2 linked regions of the Struthio camelus genome follow. The protein of the gene in region 2 purifies or fractionates together with the protein of the main gene of each other region. This does not show direct contact. Links are inferred from orthologs where the notes say so. Each region holds a gene or a part of one and is shown on either strand. Other genes may lie near its edges.

Evidence for each region.
Region 1: the proteins of ASXL2 (region 2) and OGT purify together in Homo sapiens (affinity purification with mass spectrometry; 3 studies listed by BioGRID and IntAct, with this or other methods). This does not show direct contact. The link is inferred for Struthio camelus from reciprocal best matches to the Homo sapiens genes ASXL2 and OGT.

What each region holds. Positions count from the first base shown.
Region 1 is NC_090952.1:25,820,570-25,828,566, forward strand, and holds the start of OGT (UDP-N-acetylglucosamine--peptide N-acetylglucosaminyltransferase 110 kDa subunit), read left to right. Parts: upstream 1-2,986; 5' UTR 2,987-3,276; coding exon 3,277-3,313; intron 3,314-7,056; coding exon 7,057-7,237; intron 7,238-7,997. Other genes in the region: TAF1 (transcription initiation factor TFIID subunit 1), read left to right, coding at 369-546, 1,726-1,942. UniProt on the Homo sapiens protein: Catalyzes the transfer of a single N-acetylglucosamine from UDP-GlcNAc to a serine or threonine residue in cytoplasmic and nuclear proteins resulting in their modification with a beta-linked N-acetylglucosamine (O-GlcNAc).
Region 2 is NC_090944.1:1,666,530-1,674,526, reverse strand, and holds the start of ASXL2 (putative Polycomb group protein ASXL2), read left to right. Parts: upstream 1-2,886; 5' UTR 2,887-3,091; coding exon 3,092-3,148; intron 3,149-7,997.

The sequences.
Region 1 (7,997 bases), on a different chromosome or scaffold from region 2:
GAGGAGTTTGAAGGCTCTTCAGATTGTTTCCCTCTCTTTCTAAAGACGTGTCCATGCAGAAAAGCATGCGGTGATATTTAGAGATGGCTTCAGAAAATTATTATGGGGGGGGGGGGAGTTAGAATCAAGAAAGAAAAGAGGTGGTAGAAGTACTTGAGTAGAAGAATTAGATTTTTTTTTTTTTGAATAACATCAGAAATGGCTACTCAGTAAGTGATACCAGGTACCCTTTCTGCTGCATTTTGGAAACTACTTCCTATACATTCCTTACGGTCAATATTGTGTCCTTTTAACAAATAAAGACAGTATGTATGTCACTGAGAGAACAAAACTGTTGATTTATGAACAAGTGTTGGCTTATTGCACAGCTATCCAACTGAGTGAGAGCGGCAGCGATTCAGATGTGGAGTCCAGTGCAGTGAGACCCAAACAACCTCATGTTCTTCAAGAGAATACACGAATGGGCATGGACAATGAAGAAAGTATGATGTCTTATGAAGGAGATGGTGGGGAGACATCTCATGTCATGGAGGACAGTAATATCAGGTAATTAGAGCAAAGAATGTTGTTAAAATATTTCTTTCTTCAGAACAAAGTCCCTTCTGTTAGAGATTTCTGAAGTGTTTATGACAAAGAGCTGGAGAATGTCTCATGTTCTTGTTAAGTTACTCTGTTACTGGTTTTAGTGTTGCACCTGTAATTGCAACTTACTTTTGAAGTTCTTGTTGACAGGAATTTGGTTTTGCTTTTAGACCATCGCTAATGAAAAATATTTGTTAAAATAATAAAATTAAGAATCACTTTTTCTTGCAAGTTAAATAACTTACTGTGCATAGTATTTTTTGAAGGCAAGGAAAATGAACCTTGTTTTAGATGGTCTCAGAAATTAGTAAGTGCCTTTGAAGCTAAAAGATAATATAGCTGATTAACGTCAAGCTGTTTTTCTTTGAGAGTAATAATTTCCTTCCTTGGAAGAAAATTGCTTGCTTGAAGTCCAAAAGAACAGCAAAGAATAGGAATATGTATATTGTGTATCTTGGAATGAGTTCCATTATTAGAAAATGGCAAGTACAGCAATAGTAGCTTTATTTTCTGCACTGATTTGAGAAAATACTGATCTACTTTTCCTTCTCCGGCCATTCTGTAGAGAGTTAGCATTAGATTCTCTGTTCTTTTTTTTTTTTTTTTTAATTGAAAGAACTCACTTCCATAATGTTGTTATTGGTATTTGCCTAATAAATTATTTTACAGGCCAGCTGTCATAATAGAGATAAGACCTGCCCATAAGAGTAGTTACGCTGGATTAGGCAAATGGTCCATCCAGCCCAGTACCTTGGCAATAGCCAATAGTAGATGCTAGAGAAGCGGATGAGAATGGGCTGTGCTCTCGTTGGAATTGCTGTGCTGTCTGCCTTTCCCATCTCCAGTAAAGGTGACAGATGGAAGGTGCTGGAACAAGTAGAGAACTCCGATTTTTTTTTTTTTTTGCCCTGAGTATTTCAGATTGGGTTGAGGATGTTGATAGATAACTATTTCATCGGGAGAGCTGTTTCTTAGTTAACAAAACTGGTCACTGATCAAATTGAATTGCACAATGTTTCAAAGTGTTTCACAGCACTTCCACTCAGGGACATTTTACAGGAGTAAAAATGTTACAGACAGAATATCTGATGCCAACAACTGATTTGAAATAGTAGTATAAGAAGAGTATATTCTTTCTTCCAGCTATGGCAGCTATGAAGAACCAGACCCAAAATCCAACACAAGAGATACTAGTTTCAGCAGTATTGGAGGGTATGAAATCTCAGAAGAGGAGGAAGAGGAGGAAGAGCAGCGTTGTGGGCCGAGCGTACTAAGTCAGGTCCATCTGTCTGAGGACGAGGAAGACAGTGAGGATTTTCATTCCATTGCAGGAGACAGTGACTTGGACTCAGATGAATAAACTTCTCGGGAAGCTCCCTTTCCCTGAGACGGCAGTCATCTTGGGCTACTCTTGGCTCATGAACTACTAACATCCCAGCTGGGTATAAGAAACAACATGGTGCAGTCTGTGTTAATACGAAACAGCTTTTTTTTTTTTAATAGTAGTTTTTATTGTTCTAAAACTTGTTACGTGACTGAGTAAATAGTGAAAAATAAGCTTTAGAGAAACATGCCCAGCTGAAGTACTGGGCTGGTGTGATCTTCACTAGTTCTAGAATCCAGCTGAAGACCTTTAATGGTTTGTTCTTCCTTCTTTATAGATGTAATTTCTCAAAAATAGTAGCTTGTTGGATTCATGCATTTCTGCCAGGGAGAGATGGTTGCTCAGAGTACAATGTCTGCAGTTGTTTTGATATCAAAACAATTGTAAAATAAGAACTTTCCCTTTATGAAATGACAGTTACCTGGGAACAGAGTATGAATGCATTCTCTCCTGACTACTGTCTACCTTGAATGTGTCAGTGAACAGCTGCCCTATTGGTTTTTTTTTTTTTTTTAAGCTGCGATTGGCCACAGAAAACAAAATTTGCTAGTTGGAGTCTTCAGGAATTTTCAGGCTGCTTGTATCCTGGGTGTGAGATTCCTTATGTTTAGTCAAGTGAGAAGAAAGCACAGACTTTGGTACTGTACTTACTGGTTAAATTAATTGTAAATAAAACTCAGGATGGTTTGAAGATGGGCTCCTGCTGTGCTCGTGCGTCCCCGAGGTCCCCCCCCGCTCTCGGGCTACCTCCCAGCGGCGCTTTCCGGGCGGAGTCCGGCCGCTCCCCTCCCCTCCCCTCCCCCGCCCCCGGCGGCCCCGGGCTGTCCCGGCAGGCCCCGCGCGCCGCCGGCACCCGGATGTGCCCGCGGACTCCATGTGCGGGCAGAGCGGCGCGAGGGGAGGGCGGGCGCGCAGGCGCAGTTCCTCCCCGTTTGTCGCAATGGCTTCGCGCGGAAGGATACGCGCATTGACAAAGCCGTCGCCGCCCCTCGCCCGAAGCCGCCGAAGGCGGAGCGTGGCGGAAGGAGACGCATCCAGGTCCGGCAGAGATTTCTCCGCCGCGCAGGGGCCCGCCCGGCGCCGCTCTCTCGCGCCGCCCGGACTATTTCGTGAGCGGAGATAGGTCCGGCAGCGGCCATTCGGCTGTGTGCTGCCTCCGCTGCCGCCAGCGCCATTTCGGGAGCCGCCGCCTTAGCGTGCCGGGAGCGTGGGGAGCTCGGTCCTGCTCCGCGTGCCCCAGCCTAGCGGCCCCCTGCGTGCCCGCGGCCGTTCTGCTGCCTCCGCCCGAGCCCCGCCGGCCTCCCTTCGCGATGGCGACCTCCGTGGGGAACGTAGCTGACAGCACAGGTACTGCGGCCTGCCGCGCGGGGACGGGCTCGGGGGCGCGCCGGCAGGCCGGGCCCCGCCGCCGCCGCCGCCCTGCGGGGGCCGGGCGCTGCCCTTGCCCGCGGGGCCAGCCGGAGCCCGAGCGCCGCGCTCCCCGCTCCCGGCGGAACTTTCCAGAAGCGGCGGCGGCTCCCGGCGCGGCCCCCGCCGCCGTTGTTCGCGTGTCGGTTCGGCTCGCGGCGCCGCCGGGCGGGCCCGGTCGCGGCGCGAGGCCCCGGCTCTGCCGCCAGCCGCAGGGAGCCGGCCCGTGCCGCGGCTGCCCGGCGGCTGCGTAGGAAAACGCTCCTCCAGGAGGCCGAGATGATTAGTTCTGAGGGGGGGTGGTTTCTTATGTCTATATTTATCTGGCAATTAGGTTTTTACAGAGGACGCAAAAGGATGAAAGCCTGACCTAAAACGTAAATTGATTTTTCCAGAATTTCTCTCGCTATATTTAACCAGGAGGTCGCTCCTGGAATAGCATAGCAGGGCAACTTTTTCTGGCTAGAAGGACAGCGTGCTCTTGCTGAGAAAGGTGCTCTCTTCAGTTTACAGATCTAGAACGCGGGGGCGGAGGGACAAAATCCCCCTTCCTGCCTTCAGGGCAAGGAGAAGGCCCTGCATCCCGGAAGGATGAACAGAAAACACAGCTTTTTCCGCTAGAGTTTTTTGGGGCCTTCTGTTACCAGAGAGCAACGAAGGGTCTGAAAAGGTGAAACAGGATGATGGAAAAGTAGGGAAACAAGGTTATACAGGGAAAGAGACGCGCTACTGGTAGGAGTGACGCAAAGGGAAGCGGGAGTGGTACAAAGGTGGAGATGGAGAGAGGGCAACTAGCTTCTGTACGGCATTGCTGATAACGCCTTCCACCTCAGCCAGAACCACTCACCTCCTCCCCTGATCTGCAGCATCCTCTCGGGGCCTTGAGCTGTGGAGGTGACAAGGACGTGTATGGGGAGGGGAGCGTTCCCTGTTCCTTGCCACCACCACCTCCCGTGTGGAGGTGGCAACTATTCCTGTCTGCGCCTAGATTTTATCCAAATGCAAAGCTGGGTGCGAGCGCACATGAAGTGCTTGGCTTGCTATTTCTGGAGAATTTTTGTCTTGTGTACGGTTGTGGTATTTCTGCACGGGCTTTTTGTTTTGTGTGCGTTCTCTAAAAGTATCAGGAAAGGTCATTGTTGTAGCACATGCTATGCTTTTCCAAGGTCGTAATTAAGGCACATAGTACATGCTGGCATAGGTACGCAAGTTCATGTAATACAGCAGGTGAATGTTTATAAGACTTGGTAAGGGATTCTTTTGGCTATAACTCTTTCACTGGCGTTGTTTTTTTTTTAAATGGATTCTGTGAGCAACTGTGAGTGGCAGTATTATGGATTCCTTGGATAACGTGATTCTCTTCTGTAGTAGCCCTAGTAAACGTTGAGCTCGTTTTGAAGCCTGCGGTAGTTGTCCACTTGCACTTTCCTACCTGCTTGTGAAGAGGATTGCTGCTAAAATGTGTCTTGGGAGAGATGGCTGACTGTCTTACTGCAAGTGACTAGTTTGCTTTATCTCAGTTGGTAGGGTTTGTTTTGTAAGGGGACTTCATAGATGAAAGAAATCTTAGTGTTTCACTCGTTTTGTTGTTCTCATTAACAATTTTTATTCATGGGTTTTATATGAAATTTTCTATTTTTAAAATGAATTTTATGAAATTTTCTTTTTTTTTTTTTTCATTTTCTCTCTGTTGCCCCTACAACTGTAACTTCAGTTTCAGTTTTCTGTTTTGCTTAAATAGGCAAAGCATAGTATGTAGGTAAGTTAGAAGGTTCCTTCCAAGTGGTGATAAGAATTTAAGTCTAAGTTTTTGTGGGGTTTTTTGTTTATTTGTTTTGTGTTAGCATTCGAATTTAATAATACCCTTGGAGTTTATTTGAAGAAATGATTGAATTAGGTCCACGGAGCATGCACTAGTTTCCCCCTTTTTGCACTGTCAGCAGAACTTGAAAATACAGCAGCTGTCAGATGAGCTAAACCTGTGTGACTGTTAACAACAGAAGGTAGGCAAGGAACAGCATGTTTGTACTTCAGTATTCTTACTTGTCAGCCACTTCAAATTTTGGTAAATGATGCTGTCATTTTCACGTTAAATAACGCTTGTACATGTTTACTGTCAGTAGGTTTAACCAGATGCAGAAGTCCACGTTTTCCATAGGCTGGGTTTGGAAAGGTCTTAAGCTAGGCTCCTTGAAAAAAGGACTTAATCTGTGTGAAGATACTTGATTAGTATTTTGTGACGTCTTTGGAAGTGAGTAGTCGTGCTAGTTTCAGTGAAGCCAGAACCGGTTAAAGTTTTCAACACCGACAGAGACAATGCATCTGGAATAACAGCTTTAGTTACCTCCTGTAGTGTTTGCGGTCTTCAAAACCCAGCAGTGCTAAAAAGCTCTCTTTAAAAGAACTTAAATGGCTTCCATCAATCTCAAGTCCGTTAAACACTAGATAATAACTCTGTGCCTAATCTCCTCGTGATTATTTTTCTATTGCATTAGCAAATTTCCTTGTATTAGGAAGGATTTACCTGTGCTTCGTTGTATCAAAAATGTAAAACTCTATGTCTTGGTGGGAAATGTTTAATAAGCGAGTTTAAAAGTGACTGCAGGACTGAAGAAGGGCAAATAAGAGACATTTGCAGTAGTTGAAACATATTTTTATACTTTTAATAAGTAATTTTATATCGTAAGTATAAAATAAAAAGACAATTTGAGGGCAGATCCTTCTTTTTAGGATGAACGTTTTTTTTTTTCCCCCAAGATGCGCTTACCATATCTATCTTCTAGGATAGAACTGTACTTTGTAAGACAACTTACTTTTCACAAAAAAGGTTGTTAATCTAAAACAGGTGATATTTTACTCAAGTTTTTTGTTCTCTGTGAATATGTTGTTAACAGTAAAAGCACTTTGTCACTCCAGTTCCAGCTCGACACCCAGAATTAGCGAATCCTTTTCTGTATCCTGTGCTTTGTAAAGACTGCTTCTGTGGGCCAACAGCATAAAAATCACAGCTATCGTTCTGAGACCAAAATTGATTTTGATGGGAGAATTTTTACTCATTATAGATAATACAGCCTGATAACAGAGGTTGGAAGAAATGTTGTGTGTTACACTTGTATTTATTTATTTATTCATTCATTTTTGTTACGGGCTTTCACGTGCTACAAATCTACTGCTACAGCAAAACTTTTTTTTTTTTTTGAGTCCTTTGAAGTTTTTGTCTGCTGTCCTCTTCATTTCTCAATTAATGGTTTTTAGAACTTGTCTTTAATACTATGAAGTATAAGACTTACAGTTGGGGAAAAGTCAACAGATTCATTGTTTTGTTACTAGCACTTTTAGTGTTATGAACCAAAGTACAATATTATTTTGGGAATGTTGTCAGATATTTTTCAGGTTATTGGAAAATGATTGACTTGTAATGACTCTCTGTGTTTATACGCTTATTATTAACTGATGAGGTTATGGACTATTATACCCATCATGTTAGAAGTGTCATAACTATAGATTGAGGTATGAAGATCTGAGAGTTTTAAATGTCACATGCCGTAGTACTTTATGTAATTTCAAGCATTTTCATCCTTTAGTTTTGCACATCTTTTTTTTTTTGCTTAAACATTTTTTTGTTTTGTTTCCATTATCTAACTTTTTGTTTTCCCCCCTTAAATGTTTTGGTGATTCTCCAGAACCAACGAAACGTATGCTTTCCTTCCAAGGGTTAGCGGAGTTGGCTCATCGTGAATATCAGGCAGGAGACTTTGAAGCAGCAGAGAGACACTGCATGCAACTTTGGAGACAAGAGCCTGATAATACTGGTGTGCTTTTATTACTGTCGTCCATTCACTTCCAGTGTCGCAGACTGGACAGGTAGGAGACCTGAGGTGTCCTGTCAAGCTTTACTTGTAGTTTGCACCTCTCGTAACATTGAGCACAGCTGACAAAAGTTCTGTTACAACTGCGGTTTTATCGTTGAACACAAATACTGACTAACCTCTTGGCAGCAGTAAGAATTGGTCCGAAAATGTTCTTTCTTTCTGAATTTTGCTAGGGCAAAAGAAATCCGAATTGGAATTGCTAGCCTTGCAACAAACAACAGATGTTGTTACTCATGTTTTACTTTGATATCAGAATATCAGCCATGCTTGTATGTACCAGAGGCGTCTGCACTTGCAAAAAATAATGATCGTTCATTCCACCTGAAGTGTGGGGTTTTGCGGGGAATTTTTTTTTAGTTGCAAGACTGTGACAAGATGATTGTTTGCTGTGAAGTGGCGTGATTAGTTGAATGTTTTGTTCTCTGAGAGTTGTCTCCCTGTTCTCTTTCTATCTGCTCCTGAGCTTGCTTTTTGTTCCTCAAGCATTTCAAACGGTATTATCTGTTTCAGCTGTGACTCTGTGTGTGCTGGCAATGGAAGTAACTTGTGAGTGGGATTTAATTTACGTAGGCTTGTAAACAAAGCCGTAATAATTCAGATACGGGGAAAAGTGAGTGGGAGACAGAATTTTACACCTACGTATCTTTGCTATATCCTATTTCTTGAGAAGAGTATCCAGTAAAATATTGCTTAGAGAAAAGCTGTCAGATGTTGGCAGAGGCTTAACAGACATTCTACAGTAACCTTTTTTT
Region 2 (7,997 bases):
TCACTTTAGCTGACCCTTAATTCATCGTTTTATATGATCATTTATGCCTGCACATTTATACCTGTTACGCTGCTTTGGTTTCATTGTATAACCTTTTTATATAAGCTTAAAACTTCTTAGGGTGTTATGAATGTTACATATCCAAATACCTTTGAGAATATGGGCCTTAACTTTCTTTTATTTCTGGCATGCTGACGGAGGCTTTCTCACACAGACATATACTACAATTTTCCACATTCTCTTCTCATAGAAACAGGAACATATGATGCTGCATATTGCAAGAAGCTGCTCATTTCTCTATGAAACCATGATACTGAAAGAACAACCATTTGAGATGCTGCACAGAGGTAAGTACTTTGCATATATGTTAACAAAGGCTGGCTTTCGGATAGCATGATAATTAGTTTTTCTGTCCGGTCCTATAAGAAAGAGAGTGGTTTGAGTGATATCTTCTGTAATAGGAAAGAAGGCAGAGATAAAATCAGAAGTCAGTGTGGGCTGGGAGCGTCACCTTGGAGCCCCTGTGACTTCTGAGGGTAGAAATGGCCTTGTATGGGTTGGGAGAAGATGGTAGTGAATTGCCACATTGGAGGAAGAGGTGGGATGGGGAAACAGCTGTGCTGAAAAGAGAATAGCTAGCATATGGAGCAGTGGTGAAGGAGGGGAAGGAGCAACATTTGTGACAGTCTCTCGTGGCAGTATGTGGATGGAGTAGGTAATAGCAGTGCTAGTGTGGTAGGAGGTTAGTTGGGAAGGCAGCTAGCTGCATTACAGCTGTGGGAAGCTGCGGGAGGGAGCAAAGGGAACTACTTACTACTCAGTGGCAGATAGCAGGAAAAGTAGTAGCCACGTGAATGGAAGTGTGTGGGCTGTTGCTGTTGGTAGAGTTCACAGTGAGAGTTAGATGGTACCTCAGATGCTGGTTAATTGCCACGTGAGTGGAGGGGTGTGGGGGGAGGTTGATAACAGAGCACGGGGAAAGTTGTTTAGACTGTAGTTAGTGGCACTGGGGAAAGGAACAGTGATGGTAATTAAGTGGTGGCTGCCTGCACTGAGTGGGAGGCACGTGGTTAGCTGTTGGGAGACGCTTGGTAGCTCTGGAGGGAAAGGAAGTGTATGGTCAGGTAGTGGTTAGCAGCAGCAGGGGGGGGAGGGAAATGAGCAGCAGTGTGCAACAGAGAAGGAAAACCAGTGATAAAGTGCCGGCTGGTCATTAGCATCAACTGGTGGGGAGGAGAGAAGGTGGCCCTGGGCAGCAGCTAGAAGGGAAACAGGCGAGTCAGGACATGGCTGGCAGCGCTTAGGGAGAGCTGGCCATAGCCCCGTGGCAGCAGCTGTGGGGAGAGTGTGGCCAGTCGTCAGGCGATGGCCAGGGGCACAAAGGAAGAGGGACTGAGTGGTCAGTGAGTGGCAATGGAGGGTGGTGGATGGCCCTTATCGGCATTTGGTGGCCATGAGGAGGAGAGAAGGTAGCGGGTGGCAGCCGGCTGCCGGCTGGTAACCGTTGGAAGAAGGGATGGTCTCAGTGTTGGCACTTGGTGACTCTAGGGAGGAGGGTGAAGGTGGGCGTGGGGCAGTGGTTGGCAGGAGGAAGGGAGCCGGTTGCCACTTGGTGGCCGTTGGTGGCTGTGGGGAGAGAGAAGAGGGTAGAGGTTGTGACAGGGTGTGTGGGGGGGACCTGGTGGGCACTGTGTGACAGCTGCTAAGGGCAAGCACAGGGGAGCAGGGGCTTGAGGGTGCCGGCAGAGGACTGTGGGGACCACGGGTGGGTGTGGGGTGGGGGTCCCTGACTGTAGCTGATGGCAGTTGGCAGCTGCGGGGGAGGGAAACTGATGGCACTTGGTGGCTGTGGGGGAGGGGAGCCGGGGGTCGTTGGCGGCAGTTGGTGCCTGTTGGGGGGGGGTGTCGTTGGTGTAGGTGGGTGGCTGTGCGGGGGGGGGGGTGAAGGGATCGTTGACGGCTGCGGGCGAGGGGTTGAGAGGTTGTTGGCGGCAGTGGAGGGGGGAGTTGAGAGGGTCGTTGGCGGCAGTTGGTGGCTGTGGGGGAGGAGAGCCGGCGGTCGCTGGCGGCGGTTGGCGGCTGTGGGAGGGGGAGTTGGGGGGGGTCGTTGGCGGCGGTTGGCGGTTGTGGGGGAGGGGAGCCGGCGGTCGCTGGCGGCTGTGGGAAGGGGAGTTGAGGGGGTCGTTGGCGGCGGTTGGCGGCTGTGGGGGAGGGGAGCCGGCGGTCATTGGCGGCGGTTGGCGGCTGTGGGGGAGGGGAGCCGGCGGTCGCTGGCGGCTGTGGGGGAGGGGAGCCGGCGGTCGCTGGCGGCGGTTGGCGGCTGTGGGGGAGGGGAGCCGGCGGTCGCTGGCGGCTGTGGGGGAGGGGAGCCGGCGGTCGCTGGCGGCGGTTGGCGGCTGTGGGGGAGGGGAGCCGGCGGTCGTTGGCGGCTGTGGGGGAGGGGAGCCGGCGGTCGCTGGCGGCGGTTGGCGGCGGAAGCGGAGCTGCGGGACGCCGGCGGCTGTAGGGGAAGCGGAGCCGGGGGTCGCTGGCAGCGAGGGGAAGGGCGCTGCGCTCGCTGGTGACCGGGAGAGGAGCGGAGCCGGCGGCGAGCGGACCGCCTGTCACGCGCGGCGCGGCCCCCTCACGCAAGCGATCGCCTCGAAGGCGCCTGCGCGCCTGGCGGAGGGGTGGGGCGGGGCCGGGCCCCGTGCGCGTGCGCGCCGGCGGCCGCCCCGGGGCGGGGGGCGGGCAGCGCCCTTTGGCAGCGGCGGCGGGGCGAGAGCGCAGGCGCGGGAGAGAGGGCGGGGCTCGCCGGCGGCCGGCCCCGCCTCTCCCGGCGGCCCGTACAGTAGGAGGAGTCACGCGGGTGGGCGGTCACATGACCGCGGCCCTTTACAGTAGGATCCCAATATGGCAGCGGCGGCGGCCGCGGGGGGAGTCGGCGCTGGGAGCGCTCGGACTTAGGGCCGCTCGCCCGCCCGCCCGCCCGCCCTCCTCCTCCGCCGCCCTCCTCTTCCCGGCACCCCCCGCCTCCCCCTCCTGCCTCCCCGCTGCGAGCGGGAGGAGCGCCCGGGAACCTCGGAGCCAGCTACGCCCCGCCGCGTCCGACATGAGGGAGAAGGGCCGCAGGAAGAAGGGCAGGACCTGGGCAGAGGCCGCCCGGACGGTACGTGGAGGCCGAGCGCGGCGGGAGGCGGCGGAGGCCGAGGCAGGCGGGAGCGGGGAGGAGGAGGAGGGGGGGGGGGGGGGGTGTCCGGCGGGGCCTGGAGGCCGCTGGGGCGGGTCAGAGGCCTCCCGGCTGCTCCGGGTCATGCGGGCTCCCTCCTCCGGGGGGCGGCCGCTCCTGTCGCTCCCTGCCGCCGTGGCGGCCGGTCCCCGAGGGTAAAGAGCCGCCCAGGCGGTCCTGACGGTGCCCGGCGTCCCCGGTTGGGGCTGGGGGGCCGGCGGGGTGCGAGGCCGCCTCCTGCGGGGGCCTTGGCACGCTGGGGGCTCAGCGGGGAGGCGCGGGCCGGACCTGCCGCGGTCTGAGCTGGGACGCGTTTTTGAGCCGACTTTTAAATTAGTATGTTATAGCAAACCACAGCCCTTACAGGACGACCTAGGAATGCTCATTTTCCTTTCCAAAGCTGTCAAGTCTTGCTCATGCGCAGGCATCAGCTTCAATGCCAGTGGCTTTGCCATGGGTCAGGCTCTGTTCCTAGTCCGCCTTGAAGCCCTGCATCACCTGCCGTGGGCAGCCCCGATTTCAGCAGAAAGGTCAATAGAGCCTCAGTGTCTGGCAGCAGGTGGGTCTGAAAAGACAGCCTGGTAAAATATGAAGCTTTTCAAATAGAAACGCAACACTGCAGAGTCTGCGCGGACTGTTAGTCTGTCTCTGCCTGCAACTTTGTCCTAATGCTTTGCGTTTGGATGGGGCTTTTTAAAATTTTGACCTGTTTTCCAGTTGCTTAGTGTTTCTAGACACAAATTTAGGTAGGGAACTCTTAAGGGAGGAATTGCTTCTTCATGTTTACAAAATGCTGTGAACGGTAAGATTTTTAAATAATATTACAAAACAAGTGATATGTACTATGATTTTCAGTATTCTCAGTATACTAGTGTCTTTCATACAGGAGAACTTGTTGCAGTAGGGGCAAGTGAATTGCCTCATGTCATACAGTGATTCACCCTAGAAGGAGGATTTTTTTTATCTTCTGATTCCCAAGTCTAGTAGTCTTTGTTACTATACCACTTTCAAGACAGACTTTACTTGTATTTTCTACCTGGGGCATGCATGTTTGAGAATGGATAAACGAAAAGGGAACTTTAGTAGTAGGAGAAGCCTGGAGAGAGAGAAAAATGAACAAGTGCGTGCTGCTGCAGGAGGAGTGGAACAGAAGTGTTGAATTGTGAAAGTACACCATGTGCTTGTAAAATATCTGCATTTCTAGTGAAGATTCAAATCTCCTTAATAGGAGGAGGAGGAGTTATGGTTATATCATAAGCATTCTGGAAGAGGTGTCTGTTAAAACAGGACTTGAAAAGTCTGGCTAGAAAGCAAATGTAAATAGGCATCTGCGGTTGAGACTTGCAAGCGCTAACTTTATTTGTGAATAGTAATTTGTTTGGGCCTGGTATTTACAGTTTGAAAGGCATCAAAATAGTTGCTCTTCATCTAAGGATATGGTGCAGTTAACTGTTTTAAGAATATAGGATGCATCCCCCAAGTGGACATTTTGGTTTCTTTGTGTATCTTTTTTGTGTATCTTCTAAAACTTATTTCCAAAGTAGAATAGAAGAATTTCATGTATAGGGTGTCTGTGTGACCAGATCATTTTATCTGCCTATGTGCATCGCTGTTCATACTGTATCCACTGATCTGTTTTAAAATCCCCTTCAGTGCTAAAATAGATATTTAGAAATGCTGCAATGAAAAGTATCAAAGCTGAAGGTTTTATGGTATCTTAGGTAGCTTCATGGCAAGGGTAGCCAAAAACTAGGAGAAGATGACTGAATGCTTGCCAAAACCCTCTGTTTTGGCAAATACTGCTATTTGTATCTTCAGTGGGAATGTTAAAATGTTTTAGTCAAACTCCAGTTCTGTTCTGTCTTCAAAAAGTTCCCCTGTGTTTTTTTTGGAAATACTGTCTTTTGAGTACACAAACTAGGACAAGAATCGTATTGCCATTTCAGCTACCAGTGCTTGAAGTTCATAGGGTATGTTATAAACTGCATTAAGAAGTGTGGCAACTCTCAGGCATTCCTCATGAACGGTAAAACTTGTCTCAAACTTGGAAAGTCTTCCGGTTGTATTCGGTGGAGTGTTGCATCTCTGCACTTTTTTGTGAAGTTACTTCTTTGCTAGTTTAGTGCTCTGTGCTAGCTCACTATGGAGTGGAGTGAGCCCTGATAGTCAAAAGTAATCATGGCAGCTGGAGGGCTAGGGGCTTGGGGGTCGCATTTTTTGCTGCTGGCAAACCATAAAACTAGCTATCCTGTCATGCTGCACCATAGTGGTTACTGAACAGCAGCTCAGGGTCATCAAAGTTGATGTTTCTGTGGTGGTTCTCTCCCACGTCCGCCTCCTTGCTGTGTCTTTTGCATCACCGCTGGTGCTTGTAGGTGGTTCAGGGAGCTAAAACAGCAGAAAACTATTGCTATGGTTCTGGATTGGCTTTATGCCAGCTTGGTCTTCATAATCAGTTATCTGGAATCAGGTATTTGCCAGTGCAAGAGAGGTGGTGGGAACATGGGGGATTGTGGGGAATTGTCAAGATAGTATCACCTTGAAATCAACTGTTGTGAAAATGCAGTGTTAGTCTGAAATCGGATGTTAACCAACAGAAAAATGGTCTTTCTGTTTCTTTTAAAAAAAAAAAAAAAAAAGACCTAGGATAGATGGTAGGTAGATGGATAAGACTGATTCAGTAGGACTCAAGCTATTCTTGTTCTTGTATGTCTAGGAATATAAGTTGGAGCAGAATTATAGCGTAAAATACGGAAAGAGAGCCTTGTGAGGGCAGTACATTCAGGGAGGAAGTTGCTGTTGATAAACAACCTTTTTTTTTTCTTATTTCCTGGCTCATTCAGCAAATGCGCAGCTGCAGATCACTATTAACTTGTGGCTTTTCTTGGGACAATGGCTGGGTATCCTTGCAGTTAAAATAAAACGCTTCATGAAGGTAAGAAGCTGGTACTATATAGTAAACAAGTTTGAGAAATGCACTGGGCTACGCTCTTCAGAAACAGCAACCAAACTGTAGGAAGACACCAATGGGACAGTGTGTCTAGAGAAGAGAGATGGTATAGCAACATTAACTTGGTTCTATGCTCAGCTCTGTATTGAACTATATGTTCTGCTGAAGACTTAGAATACATAAATTATGTCTATATTGGTAAACTTAACAGCTTCAGGGCTTGTTTTCTTGCCCTGAGACGACCTTGCGGAGTTTATGTATGTCCATACCGTTAAATTTCTAGCGTTCATAATACAATGCCTGCATTCGTTAGCACAGGCCTGTGCTAATTTTTGGACTGTACTGGGAACTCTGTCTGGGCTCAGCTCGTAACCTCACAGCTAAGTCTGTGGCAGGGACCTTAGCGGTGTGGATGGCTGAGATAGCGCCCGCGCTGTGCCCTGGCAGCGTTTAGCTAGCTGGTGTAGCTGTGGCTGTGCGGCTCCAGCGGTTCTAAGACGTCTGTAACCGATGTTTGTCACAGCTGGTTCGGACATGAGAACAAATGCAGTAGTACTTGCTTTGGATATGCATCGTTATCATATGTGAACTGATGTTCACAGTGCTTGTGGTTGAAGGGGGCTGGTACGTAATGTTATGTCTGCGCTCATGGACGTGGTAACAAGGCTTGCGCTATGCAGCAGAGAAGTTCTGCGCTTTCTTTTTGGTTCCTGAGGTATTTGAGTTGATCTTCCTCTTGCTTCTGTTCGGTACGGTCCTCGTGATCCAGCCCCCTAAAGCGGGAAAGGATCAGTAGAACAGCAGAGCGCCCTGCGCACCTTTCTGCTCTGATACGTGGCAGCGCCCTGTAACTTGCAGGCTGCCATGGTGTTAGCGGCCTGCTTAAATCAGGGCAAGAAATGCTGTTGCTGGACGTAAGCCACAGACAAGCCGTCCTTGTGCTTCGTGTGTGGAGAAAGCATACACTGTCATGTGCCAAGTTTGAAGAAATTTGGTATTTGTTTTTTCGTGGGAAGTCCCCAAGTGTGACTTGACAAAATATTTTTCTGCTGTGCAGCTTCAAAACATTGAGGCTTAGGAGTTGAGTGAATACGGACTGAGAGCTGTCGCAGGAGTCTGTCTCTTTATAAATGCTCTTTGGCCAGGATATCCTAAAACTGAAAAAGCAAAATTTCATGCTACCTGTTGATGAGATCAAGATACTGGCACCTTTTTTTCTTTTTTGTGCTGATTTTCTGTTGAGTTAAACTGACTTTTTTTTTTTTTTGGCTGTGGAGGGTGAAGAATTTTAGTGAGAGAGCGCATTTGGGTAAGCAAATAAATATGAACATGTTGCAATGAATTCCTTGAAGACACAGCTGTCCATTGAGTATCAATGCTGTCGTTATACTGTAAATTGCTGTGCTGCTTCTTGTGGCAGCTCTTGTGATATGAAGCCTCTTTCTCTCTTGCTGTGGAGACCTGTATGGGTCACTTCTATCCACTTAAATAAAGTGGAAAGGCATGCCACCTCTGACACTGGTGCTGCAGCACGTGTGATCCGATGTGGTGCTCAAGTGCTACGTCAAACAAGATAATGCAGTAAAGTAAAGGCAAAATCGAGTAGAAAGCTTATTCATTAGAGAACAAATGGCATGTTTTTACAAGCTGACTTTATTAAGACAAGGTACAAACTTCTGCAAAGTAATAGAGTAAGAGACTAGAGTAAAGGATTGAGGGATGCTGTTCGTCCCTGCGTGCTGTTAAAAGGCATATGCAGAAGAGAGGAAGGAAGGACCTGAACTGTAGGAAATTGCCCACTTGTCTTATGACTGCATGAGCCATTTGCTTGCTTTTATA